Linked DNA regions of Caenorhabditis elegans. The protein of the gene in region 1 purifies or fractionates together with the protein of each later gene. This does not show direct contact. Each region holds a gene or a part of one and is shown in the gene's direction. Other genes may lie near its edges.

What was found. Proteins that work in one complex are often made in the same cells at the same time.
Region 2: the proteins of gtnt-24 (region 1) and lron-14 fractionate together in Caenorhabditis elegans (co-fractionation; one large-scale study listed by BioGRID). This does not show direct contact.

The regions. Positions count from the first base shown.
Region 1 is NC_003283.11:10,750,446-10,756,104, reverse strand, and holds gtnt-24 (Glycosyltransferase family 92 protein), read left to right. Parts: upstream 1-1,954; 5' UTR 1,955-1,957; coding exon 1,958-2,205; intron 2,206-2,257; coding exon 2,258-2,448; intron 2,449-2,497; coding exon 2,498-2,598; intron 2,599-2,801; coding exon 2,802-2,954; intron 2,955-3,144; coding exon 3,145-3,348; intron 3,349-3,400; coding exon 3,401-3,594; intron 3,595-4,891; coding exon 4,892-5,048; 3' UTR 5,049-5,150; downstream 5,151-5,659. Other genes in the region: irld-6 (Receptor L-domain domain-containing protein), read left to right, coding at 1-3, 46-141, 294-422, 471-791, 876-974, 1,018-1,146, 1,191-1,400, 1,443-1,609; F28H7.3 (Fungal lipase-type domain-containing protein), read left to right, coding at 5,404-5,470, 5,521-5,659.
Region 2 is NC_003282.8:9,560,592-9,568,393, reverse strand, and holds lron-14 (eLRR (extracellular Leucine-Rich Repeat) ONly), read left to right. Parts: upstream 1-1,788; coding exon 1,789-1,950; intron 1,951-2,254; coding exon 2,255-2,437; intron 2,438-2,482; coding exon 2,483-2,631; intron 2,632-2,679; coding exon 2,680-2,805; intron 2,806-2,846; coding exon 2,847-3,104; intron 3,105-3,150; coding exon 3,151-3,280; intron 3,281-3,342; coding exon 3,343-3,459; intron 3,460-3,749; coding exon 3,750-3,857; intron 3,858-3,952; exon of another isoform or gene 3,953-3,997; coding exon of another isoform or gene 3,998-4,879; intron 4,880-4,985; coding exon of another isoform or gene 4,986-5,006; exon of another isoform or gene 5,007-5,015; intron 5,016-5,315; coding exon 5,316-5,426; intron 5,427-5,471; coding exon 5,472-5,546; intron 5,547-5,742; exon of another isoform or gene 5,743-5,763; intron 5,764-5,853; exon of another isoform or gene 5,854-5,859; coding exon 5,860-6,033; intron 6,034-6,190; coding exon 6,191-6,286; intron 6,287-6,383; exon of another isoform or gene 6,384-6,404; intron 6,405-6,847; coding exon 6,848-7,140; intron 7,141-7,207; coding exon 7,208-7,369; intron 7,370-7,423; and 3 more. Other genes in the region: col-122 (Nematode cuticle collagen N-terminal domain-containing protein), read right to left, coding at 3,998-4,879, 4,986-5,006.

The DNA.
Region 1 (5,659 bases):
AAGGTAAGTTAGTCATCAGTTATTTCATTCATATTTTATTTTTAGACTGTCTTTTCAATTTCACAAAAAACCCTTCACTGGTTGGTCTTCGGTTTTGGAATTTGGCTCATGATCCAAATTTGGAGAATGTTCCTGCTAAGCGTATGTTTTATTGGCTTTGAAGTTTTGCTCAGTTTTTTTGCTACTTTTATAAGAAGTAAGAATATAGCGAGAAAATACAATAAAGTATGTTCAGCTCCTATTTAGTTCATTATTGAGCATTCATACATCATTTCCTAAGAATATATTTTCAGATCGTCCAAAGTTATATATCCGAGGAAATTCCCGATTGAGTTTCACAACTTTTACTGGTGATAGGAGAAAACTTCTAGAACTGAAAAAAGCATGTAATCCCGAGATGTGTGTCATTCAGAACGATGAAGGTAATTTCTAAAAATACACTACCAATTTTTTTTATAATTTCATTGCAGAATGTCATTTTCGTTATCCTATCAAAGGTTCAAATGAATATCAATATTGCCGTCATGTGTATGGGGATATGCATTTCACAGGAACATTTAGAGAAAATAATCCAGCTGAAATGAAGTTTGTAATTGAAGGATGTTTTATTTTCAATCGAACCAAAGCCCAATATGTTCGCGGATTGCTCAAATCATTTCCAAAATGTTCTCGTCAACATATTTTCGAGCATAACCAATACATGTGCACTGATCAATTAGATCAAATCAAAGAGCGTTGGGGACATGAAAAAGTTAAAATTATTTCTGATGGAATAAATGTGAAGTGTTATCGTAAGTTCTTTTTCACAAGATAGAGACTGTAAAAGCGTTTTCTAACAATAAACCAACACTTTGTTCCAAAATATATTATTGTAGAAGGAGAATGTCGAGGAGGTTTTGTATCTGAAGCAGTCAAGGATCGGTATTCTGGGTGCGAAACGTTTCAAGGAGATGTATATCTTTCTGAGACCAGTGGTATTTCAATTCGTATTGTATCAATCAATAAGATGTTTTTCAGGAAATCTTTCCGAGCGGATTAAGGAATTATCCTATGCTCATACAATAAACGGTCAACTCCTAATTGCCAATAACCCATCAATTACGAAGTTATCATTTCCGTTTCTCAAGAAAATAAAATCTACAAAATGTAAGTTTAAAAATCTAATAATTTATTTTGAAAACTATTTTCAGGCCCTGCTCTTCAAATATCAAACATGACAAATTTGGAGTTCCTCTTATTCCAGTCACATGTAGAGTTTTCCTGTCGTAGAAGTGGGCCAATTGTGATGATAACTAATAGTTCGAAGCTATACTTACACCATCAAATGCTCAGACAACTCAGAAAAGTGAAGGCAGTCTTGAGACATTTCGATAGCAAAAGCGACACATATTCTGAAAAAAGTAAGTTATCAAAAATGTAACCTTTTTAAATATGTTTTTAAGCCACCTACTACTTGATCGGAGGGTGTTTTGTGATCGCAATCTTCATGGAATTTATTTGGTTTTTCCGAAAAAATCTTCTTCTTCCTAATTTCCTCTACCGTCTGTTCCCGATGAGAATTAATAGAAAACCGAAACAAAAGCATGGAAAGAAGAAGAAAGAGGATTGAATATTACTTTTTAAATTAACGCTTAAATGTTTTTACTTGACTATAAAATGTGTTCACATTTCTTAAATAAATTTTTGATGTATTATCAAAATTGTCTGATATTTTTTCCTAGTTCCATTAAGTCTTGTGAGAAAATAATGCAAATTGCAAAAGCAATTACAAATTTTTAAAAGTAATTTTTATCAAATACATTAATAAAATCATAGACAGGATCGCACAAGAGGGACGCTGGCGGATAGCCGTCACCTGTTCTAACAAATAATGTGACAAATAGGAGAGCACATTGCCTTGAACAAATATCAATTTATACATTTCAAATATTGTCTGTATCATTTTGATTTCTGAAAAATGAAAATGAATTGTGATATTCAGTCGAAGCTTTATATTTTCTTCATTCTTTTATTTTTTGTCATTTTATCAGTGCTTTATTCAATTGAAGTGTTCAACTATGATTTCGTTTCTAGTAATTTTGGTATTTCTTCAATTTATTTAACTCATATTCAAAAATATAAAGATGCCTACCCACCAATGTTGATTGGAGCATATGAATCTGAAACCCAAATATCAGTGTCTGTTGCTGCATTAAAACCTATTGGGTAATAATTAATTATTGCATATAATTATTTAGCAAACGATACTCAATTACAGTTATACAGTGTACTGCCGATATTTCGACAAAAACGGAAAAGAACATGAAAAGCCAATGAAAAGCTTTATTTATCCGTTATTTGTTGTGATTTGTGATCGAAAATCTTCAGAAACTCATAAAGTTGCAATAACAGATGGACCAAATGGAGTAGTGCTGGAACAATTTCAGATGATTGTTACTCGATGGAATGGTTTGAAATATTTCATCAATACAAAATGTGTAATTCGATTATTTTTCAGCAAGTTACAAAAGAATGTTGACTCATTGTTCGGCTCCTTTATTTGGACAAGAACCGAAATGGATGCATCTGGTAGAAATGATCGAGCATTATAAATTACAGGTTTGCTTAAAATTTTGCATAGATAGCTTAGTTTATTTATATTAAGTTTTTACGTTAAAGTTTTTAAAACAACCATTTTACCTGCTATTAAAGAGGCATTCATTTACCTCGTACATGTACCGAGTCGATTTTTTTTCAAAACTGATTATGTTTATTTCAGGCATAAAATTTTTGTCTCGCTTTGTCAAATTTTTACTTTTCAGGGTGTCACCAAGTTTTACTTTTACATCCGAGAAATCGAATTGTATGATATGTCAGTTCTTCAACACTATATGGCATTTCGAGATGAAGTTGAAATTATTCATATTCCTTCAATCTACTTTGATGCAGTCTCTCAACAGTATCTAGCAATTGCGGTAAGCAACTACCGTATTTTTCTATAAGATCAGTTCAACTGTTTAAATATAAACAAATTATTCAACATACCAATTTTACACTTTTTTTGAACTCCAAAGCCAACCAAGATGTTGTAAACTCAAAATAATGCTAGTGTGATTAATGGGGGAAATACAGTCCTAAAATTCAAGAAAATTCAGATATTTTCAGGACTGTCACTTGCGAAACCAATTATCAGCCAATTGGACAATCTTTTCCGACATTGACGAGAGAATCATTTTGACTGATAGCAAGACAACTATTCGAAATTTTTTACAAGATTCAGTCAGTGAGAAGTATGGAGGAGTTATGTTCCCACAGCGTTGGATATTCAAATATGAAAAGCTGCCTGAAAAGTTTATTAATCCAGTACAGGTATTGAAAGAGTACAGATTTTTGTAAATGAAATCGCTCATTCTGTTTTCAGATAATGCAAGAAATGCCGTCAAGGAAATGGGAACTTACAACTCAACCATGGCTCAACTGTACAGATGGAAAACATTGCTTCTCAAAAATGATAGTGAATAATCAAAAAGTATTACAAATGATGATTCATGACGTCGGAGAGTATAATGGGAATTATCAGACTTTGATTCTTGATCCGAAAATTGGATATATAAGGTATTAAAACAAATTTTTTCAATATTTTCATTAATACTAACTTAGTTTAGAATAAGTTTAGAATAAATTTGAAAATTAGCTTAATTTTGGATTTTGCAACGCCGTAAAAAAGTTTTAAAATTATTCTGAGAAGTTTCATTACGAAATTCGTTTATTCGAGCACATTTTAAATCTATAAATTTAAAATAGTACGTTAGTGCTCCTTTAAGAGAACGGTTAGGAACATTGAATTTGATTTGATTTATTTAACATAACTAATGCAATTTACAACTGTACAATTGAATTTTGAGTGTTAAATAAAACGGTAAAACGAGACTAACCCAGAAAGAGTACGTCTCGAGTTTGGGACGGGAAAGGAGAGAGAGGGTAATGTGGTAGAAGAGATCAATTAGAAGTCAAAGAGAACCAGCGGAGAAAAGTTAATACCGGGGAATATTGAGATCGAGAAAGTTTGAAAACTGATAGGGGGAGAGAAATACCGGTATATTTTTGACAAGATTGTTCCAAATAGGAATGGATTTGGCAAAGAAATGAGAGGTGCATGTGTCTTTCCTAACCAGAATCATGGGTCTCCTATTGGAATTAGAGAACTTGACAAACTGAGTTAATTTAGAGAAATGAGTAGAACCGGTAAGAAGTCTATATAATAGTTTCATTTGAGCTTTAATTCTTGTGTGTCTGGTGGAGAATAGTTCCATGATGCACAGTCTGTTTTCGTAAGAGGTGAATTTAACGTTGCACCTTTGCAGGACGCGTTTGGTGAAGGTCCTAAGCGGTTTTTCAAGTATGGCAGAGAGTGAGGAGTTGGGGGAAGGGGAGTAGATCTCAGAGCAATAGTTTATGATGGGGGCAACGTATGTTTTAAATAAGTGGCTATAAAACTTATGGGAGTTAGAGGAGAACGCTTTGAGAATTTGCTTAGCCCTTAGCATGGCTAGGCAGCTAATTTTTATAATATGAGGTTCAAAGTTTAATTTAAAATCCGTGATAAGACCTAAATCGCGGACTGTGGAGGATGGAAGAATGGGGACATTATCCACTCTATAGGTGTGGTTGGAGTTACGGGAACATTCCCTTTTGATAAGTACTAATAATAAAATGTAGTTTCTGAATAAAAAGGTTTTATTCAGAACCTATGTGTTGAAGTACAAGACGTTTTCATAGTTTTGGTTGAGGTCTGAACAAATTAACTAAAAAGAGAAAATGAGCAATTCGTAAATCTATGTAGGCTGTGCGAACACCAAATACTAACACTTATAAACTACATATGTTGAGCCATCACAGTGTTTTATTTCAGGCACTATCGAGATGTAAATATGGGAAAATGGTGGGTGAGAAATAAGGACGTACTTGAAAAACTGAAGCCATACGAAAATACCACGTACAATTTACGTCTCCGAGACCAACTTCTAACAAATGTTCTTCAAATTCTTTATGCAGTTCATCGACCGTAAGAAGAATAAAAAGGGTTGAAATTCATCACTATCACTTTGATCTCAATTGTTTTATGTCCATATAAACTTTAACTATGCAAACAAAATGTGTCGTCATTAAAAATTCTTATTTCAAAAAATTTTAAGATCAATTTGGTAACGGAACTCACAACCGCTTAAACTTTCCATCACACGTTCGTGATCTCTCCAACGAAATGTGTGCAGCATGCCGGTTTTCCTTTCCGTCTGATAAGAGAAAAGAGCTGTCTCTAAACCTCCTAATCATTCTTCACATAATACTTCCTTATCACGGCAAGTACAAAAACTCGTCCCACTTATCTGACATTGTCAGTTTGTCTTCTTCATTCTCCCCGAAATGCTGAAACTCTTCACGCTTCTCTGCGTGGTTTACACCGCCTATGGTCTTGTCCTCCCAGCTTCTAGTAAGTTCCGAATAATTTGGCACTGACTCTCTCACATCATACATTTTCAGTGCTAGCCAGTTACACAGATGCATTTGCCAGAACTCAAATGCTTGCTCTTGCTTCAGCTGCATATTCCTCTAATCCACAACATTGCCTTGACTCTAAATTCACAAACGCTAAGCTTCAACGTCAAATTTATGTGAAGAA
Region 2 (7,802 bases), on another chromosome or scaffold:
TAATTTTACTTCCAAAGAAGATGATTTGTGCCAGATGACCAAATATTTCAATAACCGAAACCCAAAAATAAATCAAAGATTTTTGACGTTCAAATAGTGAATGTGTTCAAACAAAACTATTTTGAAAATTCAGGCCTTAGGTTGTCACTTGGCACATTTACCAAACGACATCTAAAACCCTGACTTCTAGCTTTTAATAAAACAATTAATTACTCAAAAAAATTGCCCAAATTTTGAAAATATCACGATTTTCCTCTCATTGTGTTTGGAAAAGGCTCAAACCGGAATCAGTGAGAAAAAATAGAACATGAAGTTTTTGTTGTTGTTGTTCAGGAAGAAGCCGTCGTATAGTTCGTTTTGATTTTCTATTCTTCACAAAAATTCGAAAACTTCCAGTCGTTTTTTCTGTGGCTTCTTCCAATCCATTTTTCAATTTAAATTCAATTTATACTCTCTCTCTCTTCTCAACTCATAATTCAGTGGGAATACATTGAATAACTCTCTCTCATAAATCAGATTCCGCCCCCTTTTTCCCACAGACTAGTTCATTGATACTCCGTTTCTTCATCTTCTATACTATTTTCCTATAGAAATATGAAATCTCAATTGAAGATCTACCCTCCGCCTTCTCTTTCAGGGCAATCATTCTTCCCTCCTTCCCGAGATTTGTGTCGTCTTTCCCATCTCTGACACTGATTCCGTCGGGACATTCCTTTTGGTTCACGCTAGCTTCTAGGAATTTGTCGCACCAAAAATGGGCAAAAAAAGATGAATGAATATGTATTTTGGAAGAAGAAGAGCCCGCCCCAACTTGCCCTCCATTTTCTACACAAATTGCAAGTCACCACGCTCCTTTTGTCCCTTTTCGCCGATTTCTGTCCCATTTTTTGGAGCAATTCATTGTGCTCATATTGTTTTGTTTAGATGTGAATAGATTTGACGTTTTTATTCAAGTTTTGGCCTCAATGAATTTACTTTATGTGAGGTCTTTCTCAAACATTTTGACATTATAAATCATGTGATTCATAATAACAGAAATGACATAAAAGCCATGTAAATTTTTAAACAACTAATTTGAAAGTTACTGTAAAATGCAATTGGTTCAAGTTATGAGAAGAGTTTGAAACCACCTATTTTGCTTTTAAGATCTAAGTTTATAAACTAAGTATAAACTTAGAAACTGATGTTAGCTCAGTTTTGAGTTGCGTAATTCTGACTTAAAAATTGATGAAAACCTTGGCACGAAGCCTTTTAAAGTCTTAAAGAAGTTATCATAATATTTAGATGACGATGTCTTTATTAAAAACAACGTTAAAGGATCACGAAAAGTTTGAGTTATTTATGATGCTAGGTTAAAAAATAATTCATGCACTGCAAGTTGTCAAAAGTATCAATTTTCTCGACAAATTTCGAAATCTTCAGACCGATTCTTTTTTGCCTTTTTTGGCTCAGAAATGTTTGATCCAGACTCTTTTGAACAAAACATACAGTTTCAAAATTAAAAAAAAACTTATGTTGATTTTAAAAATTTTCTACATCAACAGATTTGTTCATGTTATAGCGGTACCATTATTTTTGTAAAAATAGTAAGTTCACTGGACTATCGAAAGACAAATGTGAGATTCACTTTCAATTTATTAAATCTGCAGTCAATAGTTTTACGTTTATTAGTTCATAACTTGCTTCAACCTATTCCTACTTCCTTCCGTTTCCACAATATTTCCAAAATTTTTCATGATTCAGCTCAACTGAAGCCCGTTTGATCTTCATCTTCATTCTTCATGGTATATGTCCGTCCTCCCGCTTCTTCATCTTTTTCTCATTTCTTCTCTTCAAATCGCCCCAACTGCCACGTCATCACCTTCCCAATTTCCGTGTCCGACAAGATGTCAATGCTATGCGGATAACGAGCAGAACCAACAAGTACATCTCATTTGCAAGTGGGAACAGGTAATTGAATGGACATGTATGTGTAGGGGGCAATAGCAAAAGTGACTAGCCATCGCAATTATCAATTAGTCACTGCATCAATGCATGTTTGGTATAACAGTACATTACAGAGAACATGGACATGTTATTTTAAAGAACAGCAAGGGAAGTAATTTAATTTAGTTTCGATAAGAATTTTTACACTGGACTTAAAAAGCAATGTTTGAGTAGTTTTGTTATGAAATTCAGTCTTTTGGGTTCATTTTAAATTTATTAAGACAATTCAAGTCGTTTACTCCTCCGTTTAACTACATAACGTTTTCAGCTGAATGTGACTACTCTCCAACTTGCACGTCCTGATCTCGTCCGAACTCTTACTATAAAATGCCCTTATCATTCTCCAAAAGTATCAACTCCACCTCATTCATTATTTCAAGGGTTTCGAAATCTAGATCGTCTCGAATTAGATAGATGCTTAATTGATACTGTTCCAGAAGGACTTTTTGCGGTTAGAATTTTCAGAGAAAACATTTGTAATTGTATTGATGTTCAGGGTCTTGGTCAACTCTATTCCCTTATCGTTAAAAATGCAAAAATTACCGATTTTCCTCGAGAGATATTCGCCCATGTTCCCAACTTGATGACATTGGATCTTTCTGGGAATCGATTGAGAATTGAACCATATTCATTAAGATCATTACAGTAATTATTCTTAAAAATGAAGTTAAAAATGAATATTCAAATTTTCAGAAACTTGATTCACTTGGATGTAAGTGACAATGATATTGGATTTCTGACAAATACGTTGATATCCCTGACAAAGTTAAAAGTTATCACAATGAACAACAATAAGATAACGAATATCGATTTCAGAAGGTTTTAAAAACATTTATTTGTTTTAAAAAATAAATTTTCAGATTTCCTGAAAACCTGACCGACTTATCAATTCGGCATAACCTCGTCTCCACAATTCACTATGTTCCAGCAAGTGCTAGAAATCTGAAACGCCTTGATTTGGCTGGAAATCGAATGGAATTTGTTGGTGGTTTGACGACTGGAGCTGTGAATGTATTGCCTGCAGAGTTGAAACACGTGGATTTGTCGAATAACAAGTTGACGTATTTACATGATCATGCATTTGAGCACTTGACAAATTTGATTTTGCTGGATTTAAAGTTGGTTTTGTATTGAAAAAGTATTTTCCGAACATTATTCTTGCAGAAACAACAGCCTAAAGGAAGTGAAGTCATCAAGTTTTGCTGGTTCCAAATTTCAAGTCAAATTGTTTTTATCCGAGAATCCACTACTATGTCACTGTAATCATAAATGGTTAATGGATTCTTCTGCTAAAGTTTGTTTTTGAAGTTTTTACACAATTTCTAATTTTTTGGTATTACGTTTGATATTTTTTAGAACATATCAATTGGAGACCTTCAGACAATTGAATGTCTCAATATATTGAAACCAGAAAAGAAAATGCTGCTCACGTTAGCTCATTCAAGGAATCAACTGCTCTGCAAATATTCTAATGTAAGTTATTTTATAAATGTTTCATTTTAATTGAAAAAACAATTGGTGGCGTACTACCAATATAATTCGATTTAAAAGAGACTAAGATGTATAGTTTAATAAAACCGTGCTGAGAAAAAGCCTGATATCAAACAACAGTAATTATATACCCAACAGACTTTAATTATGCTATCAAACATTTTCTTCAAAAAATTAATCGAGAAAATTGAACTGATAATTAAAAAAGGTTTCAAGGTAGGCTAAAAAAAATTTCAAATACATAGTAACTTTGAAACAGTAATTTTTTTCAGATGTGTGAAGCAGATTGTGAATGTTGTCAGAAAAAAGAATGTGAATGTCGTTTCGAATGCCCGCCGACGTGCAAATGCTTGAGATCTGCGGATGTCTCTATTGTGAGGGTATGATTTTTGGAAACTGGGAAATTAGATATTTCATCAATTCTAGCTTTTTGAAAAACTCATTTTGTGTATTTTCGAACTAAAAAAACAATATTGGAATGCTAAACTCTTTATGAAAAATGGGAGAGACGAAATAAAATCTAGCGTCTGGATCCGTCCTCGAAGAAGACTCCTCCATCGATAGCACAGTATTTTGGACAGATTCCCTTCTCTCCTGGAGTTCCATCGGATCCTGGAAGTCCTGGTTGTCCTGGAGCTCCATCTTGTCCTGGCTCTCCTGGTCCTCCACGTGGTCCTGGTTGTCCTGGGGATCCTGGAGCTCCATCCTTGCCCTTGATTCCAGCAACTCCACGTGGTCCACGTGGTCCAGCACGTCCTGGCTGTCCTGGTTGTCCTGGCTTTGGCTCGTCGGAGTGTCCTGGTGGTCCTGGTGGTCCTTGGGATCCTGGCTTTCCTGGGTGTCCGTTTGGTCCGTGTGGTCCTGGTTGTCCTGGTTGTCCTGGTCCTCCATTTGGTCCATCGTGCCCTGGTGGTCCTGGTGGTCCCTCGGATCCTGGCTTTCCTGGTGCTCCTGGAGCTCCTGGTGGCCCTGGTGGGCAAGCTGGGCATGGTGGTGGGGTTAATGGTTCACATGGTGACTGTGGTGGCTTTCCTGGGTGTCCTGGGGCTCCTGGTGCACCTGGGCGTCCTGGAGTTCCTGGGCGTCCGGCAGCTCCGACTGATCCAGCGGCTCCTGGCAAGCAGCATCCGTCGCAGCTATTGTGCTCCTGGGCTGGGGCGTCTTGAACGGCAACATCGTATCCAGCTTGACGCGCGGTACGGTTCCCTCTCCCGGGAAGAGCTGGCATAGCGACAGCGGTAGCATATACCGTGTTAACGGTGTCACGGCAGTGACGGAGCTCAGAGTGCATTTGAGAGCGGAGGTTGCTCACATAAGAATAAACGAGTGGAAGAGTAATGCAAACGGAAAGAATTCCGACAGCTGAGAGGGAGACTGCGGCATACCCGATGAGACGGTAGGCCTGAAAAATTGTATAATTTTCGAAAAATAAGAGTCATGAATGGTTTTTAAAATTAAATTCTAAAGCCTCTTAGAACTTTAAACTAAACCAAACAATTTGTGAATACCTTGATTTTGTTGTCCTCCATTTTTGAGATGATCAAGATTGGATGATGCCTTTCCATGTTAAACCCATTCCTTTTATACTGACAATTTTCTCTTGATCACTGTTTCCTTTTTTCATTTTTTTTTTCATTTTGTGTTACCAAATCTATGTCTCCACATTTCCCATTATCACTCATCCTATCACTATGGATCTATCTTTGTTGTCAGGTACGCCCGCGCGGTTTCGCTAACTTTACACTTTCCAATTGGTTTTTTCTTGGATGATAAGGCACAATAGAAGAGAAACGGAACTAATTTGAAACTTTTTTGGTTAACCCGGAACATTATTTCAGACATCTCAAAACATTATGGTTTGCGACAAACTTCGATGGGATAAGCTCGGAAAATTTCCATCCCCATTGACACAATTACATATGAATCAGACTGATTGGAAGATTTTTGAGGTTTTTTTTTCTTTGGAAGAATTCATTAGACATCAAGACTTTTAGACCGAGAAATTGAAAGAACTGAGCAACTTGCGAGCTTTGAAGATCACAAATAGCAAAATGACTTCAGTGGAAATGGTGAGTTATTTTTTGAATCCGGAGGTTAATTTTGAAAATTGAGGGAAACTTAACTAACTGGTTTTGTGTTCCTAAGGTTTTTCAAATATAGAACTATGTATTTTTCAATTATTTTATGCAATTGGATGTATTTATGTAAACAATTTTTTACTGTTTCGACATGCCTACTTATGCAGTATGATATTTGAAATTTTAATCCTGCTGTCATTGTGTTGTCCGAAAATTTCACCTAATTTAGAGCATCATCTAATTTAGTTAAATTCTAATCAATTTCCATATTTCGCAAATAATGTCCACAAAAAAATTATTTCAGGAAAAGCTCACTGATCTTGCCAATTTGACCCATCTCGAAATAACATCTTCTGCCATCACCTCAATTCCAGAAACCATTACAAAATTACCATCTTTAACTCATCTCTACTTATCTGATAACCCATTGGATCAACTTTCATCAACATCCTTAAATCATTTGGATGGTTTAAAAAAGGTTAGTCACTTCAAAAGGAAAGGACATTTGACCAGAAACCAGTTTATCTATGTTCCATCATGATAAGACAAAACAGTCATTTTTTGGTGGAATCATTGGGTTACAAAACGAAACTTTCCATTTCAGTTTGGTTGATAATAATAAAAGAGAAATTCAGATTCGATTGGGTGGGAATTTCAGCAGATTTGCCTGTGATTGTGAGTCACCATCGGATTTTCAGAGATGGTTGATGAGAAGAATTAATCGAGCAAAAGTAAGAACATAGTCACATAGTTTCAGAGCAAAAAAGTTTAAAAATTAATTTCTGTTTCATAAGTTTTACAAATATAGTAGTAAATTTTGAAATTTATTCCTGATCGCCAAATTGTTATGCACTCAAATGTGTAATGTTGAATTTTGTTTCTCCTAATGTTAAATTTAAAAATATTGAAGCTTTGTCAATAATACATTCATGGTGAGGGACATTTTTATTACTTTTTCGAAAAAGTTAAAAGTGAACGTGCCATGCTCAAGTTTTGAGCTGATCGTCATTATTTCGAATTATTGAAGGCAATTGGTTTTTGCCAGTAATAAACTAAAATTATTATACATTAGTTTTTATCTTAATTGTTTTCTTACTGAGAATGGGATTACTAAAAGCAAACTTTTCATTTGAAGATTTATGTACCATTTTAATTTACTTTCTGAAAAAAAACTGAGAAAAGTTTTTACTGTTTCAAAAATGCCACAAATCAAATTTTTTCAATTATTTTATGTTAATCAATATTTATTGTTCAAAATCTGATTTCGAGTGGTTTTAAAATAAATTTTTCAGATAGATGATATTGATGATTTATATTGTGATTTAAATGGTCATGGAACAGTTTGGATGTTGGAAGCTCTTCCAGGAACAAATGAAAGTGTATGCCTGGATCCAACTGAAGAAACTAAACAATGGATGACATTTGTGGAAAATGCACAAAAAGGAATAATGGAAAGAGTTTATACTTCAACTGAATCAACAACTAAATCTGAGAAAACAATGATGACAACTACATTGAAAAAGAGTATTTTGGATACGATGGATGAACTAGAAGGTGTCAAATCTACCGAAAAAATTAGTAATAAGTGAGTTGATTGGTTTGAAAATTCAGCGAAGCCAAAAAAAGTTTCTAAAAACTGAAAAAATTTTCAGAGTAATCTCAACGACAACCGTTCCCACAACAACTCCTCGATATCGCAAGAAATACAAGAATTATGACAATGAACCTCATAAATTTGTCAATGTTCTCATTTTCTTGCTCTTCTTATGTGTGATTATCTTGATAATTTCAATAGGAGTCACCGTATATTTGAAGTAAGTTTTCAAAATAAAATCTATTTGAATGATAGAATCAATAAAAGATTTCAGATTTTGGCATCCTGAAGAGCTTTTAATGAAGCGTCGGAAAAAAGAAAGACTTCGACCGGAAATTCAAAGAGAAGAAGAACCATTGCAGCATTTAGATTGAAGAAGAATAATAGAAGTTTTAGAATTGAAACGGGTATAGATTTTATTTTTTGGTATTTGTTTTTTCGAGCAGATAAATACATTTTATTCTTCAAAGTAAACATACAAAAAGTAGTTCTTGAAAAAAGAATGAGTTAAATGAAATAGTTGTATTGTGAAACATGGTTAGGCAGTTCTCAATTGCGTCGAAAAGTGTCATAAAAAATTGCCCGGCTTGTTTTGACCAAATAGCCAATGTTATTATTTATCATTCATCATTTTATCAATCGTTTTATCATTT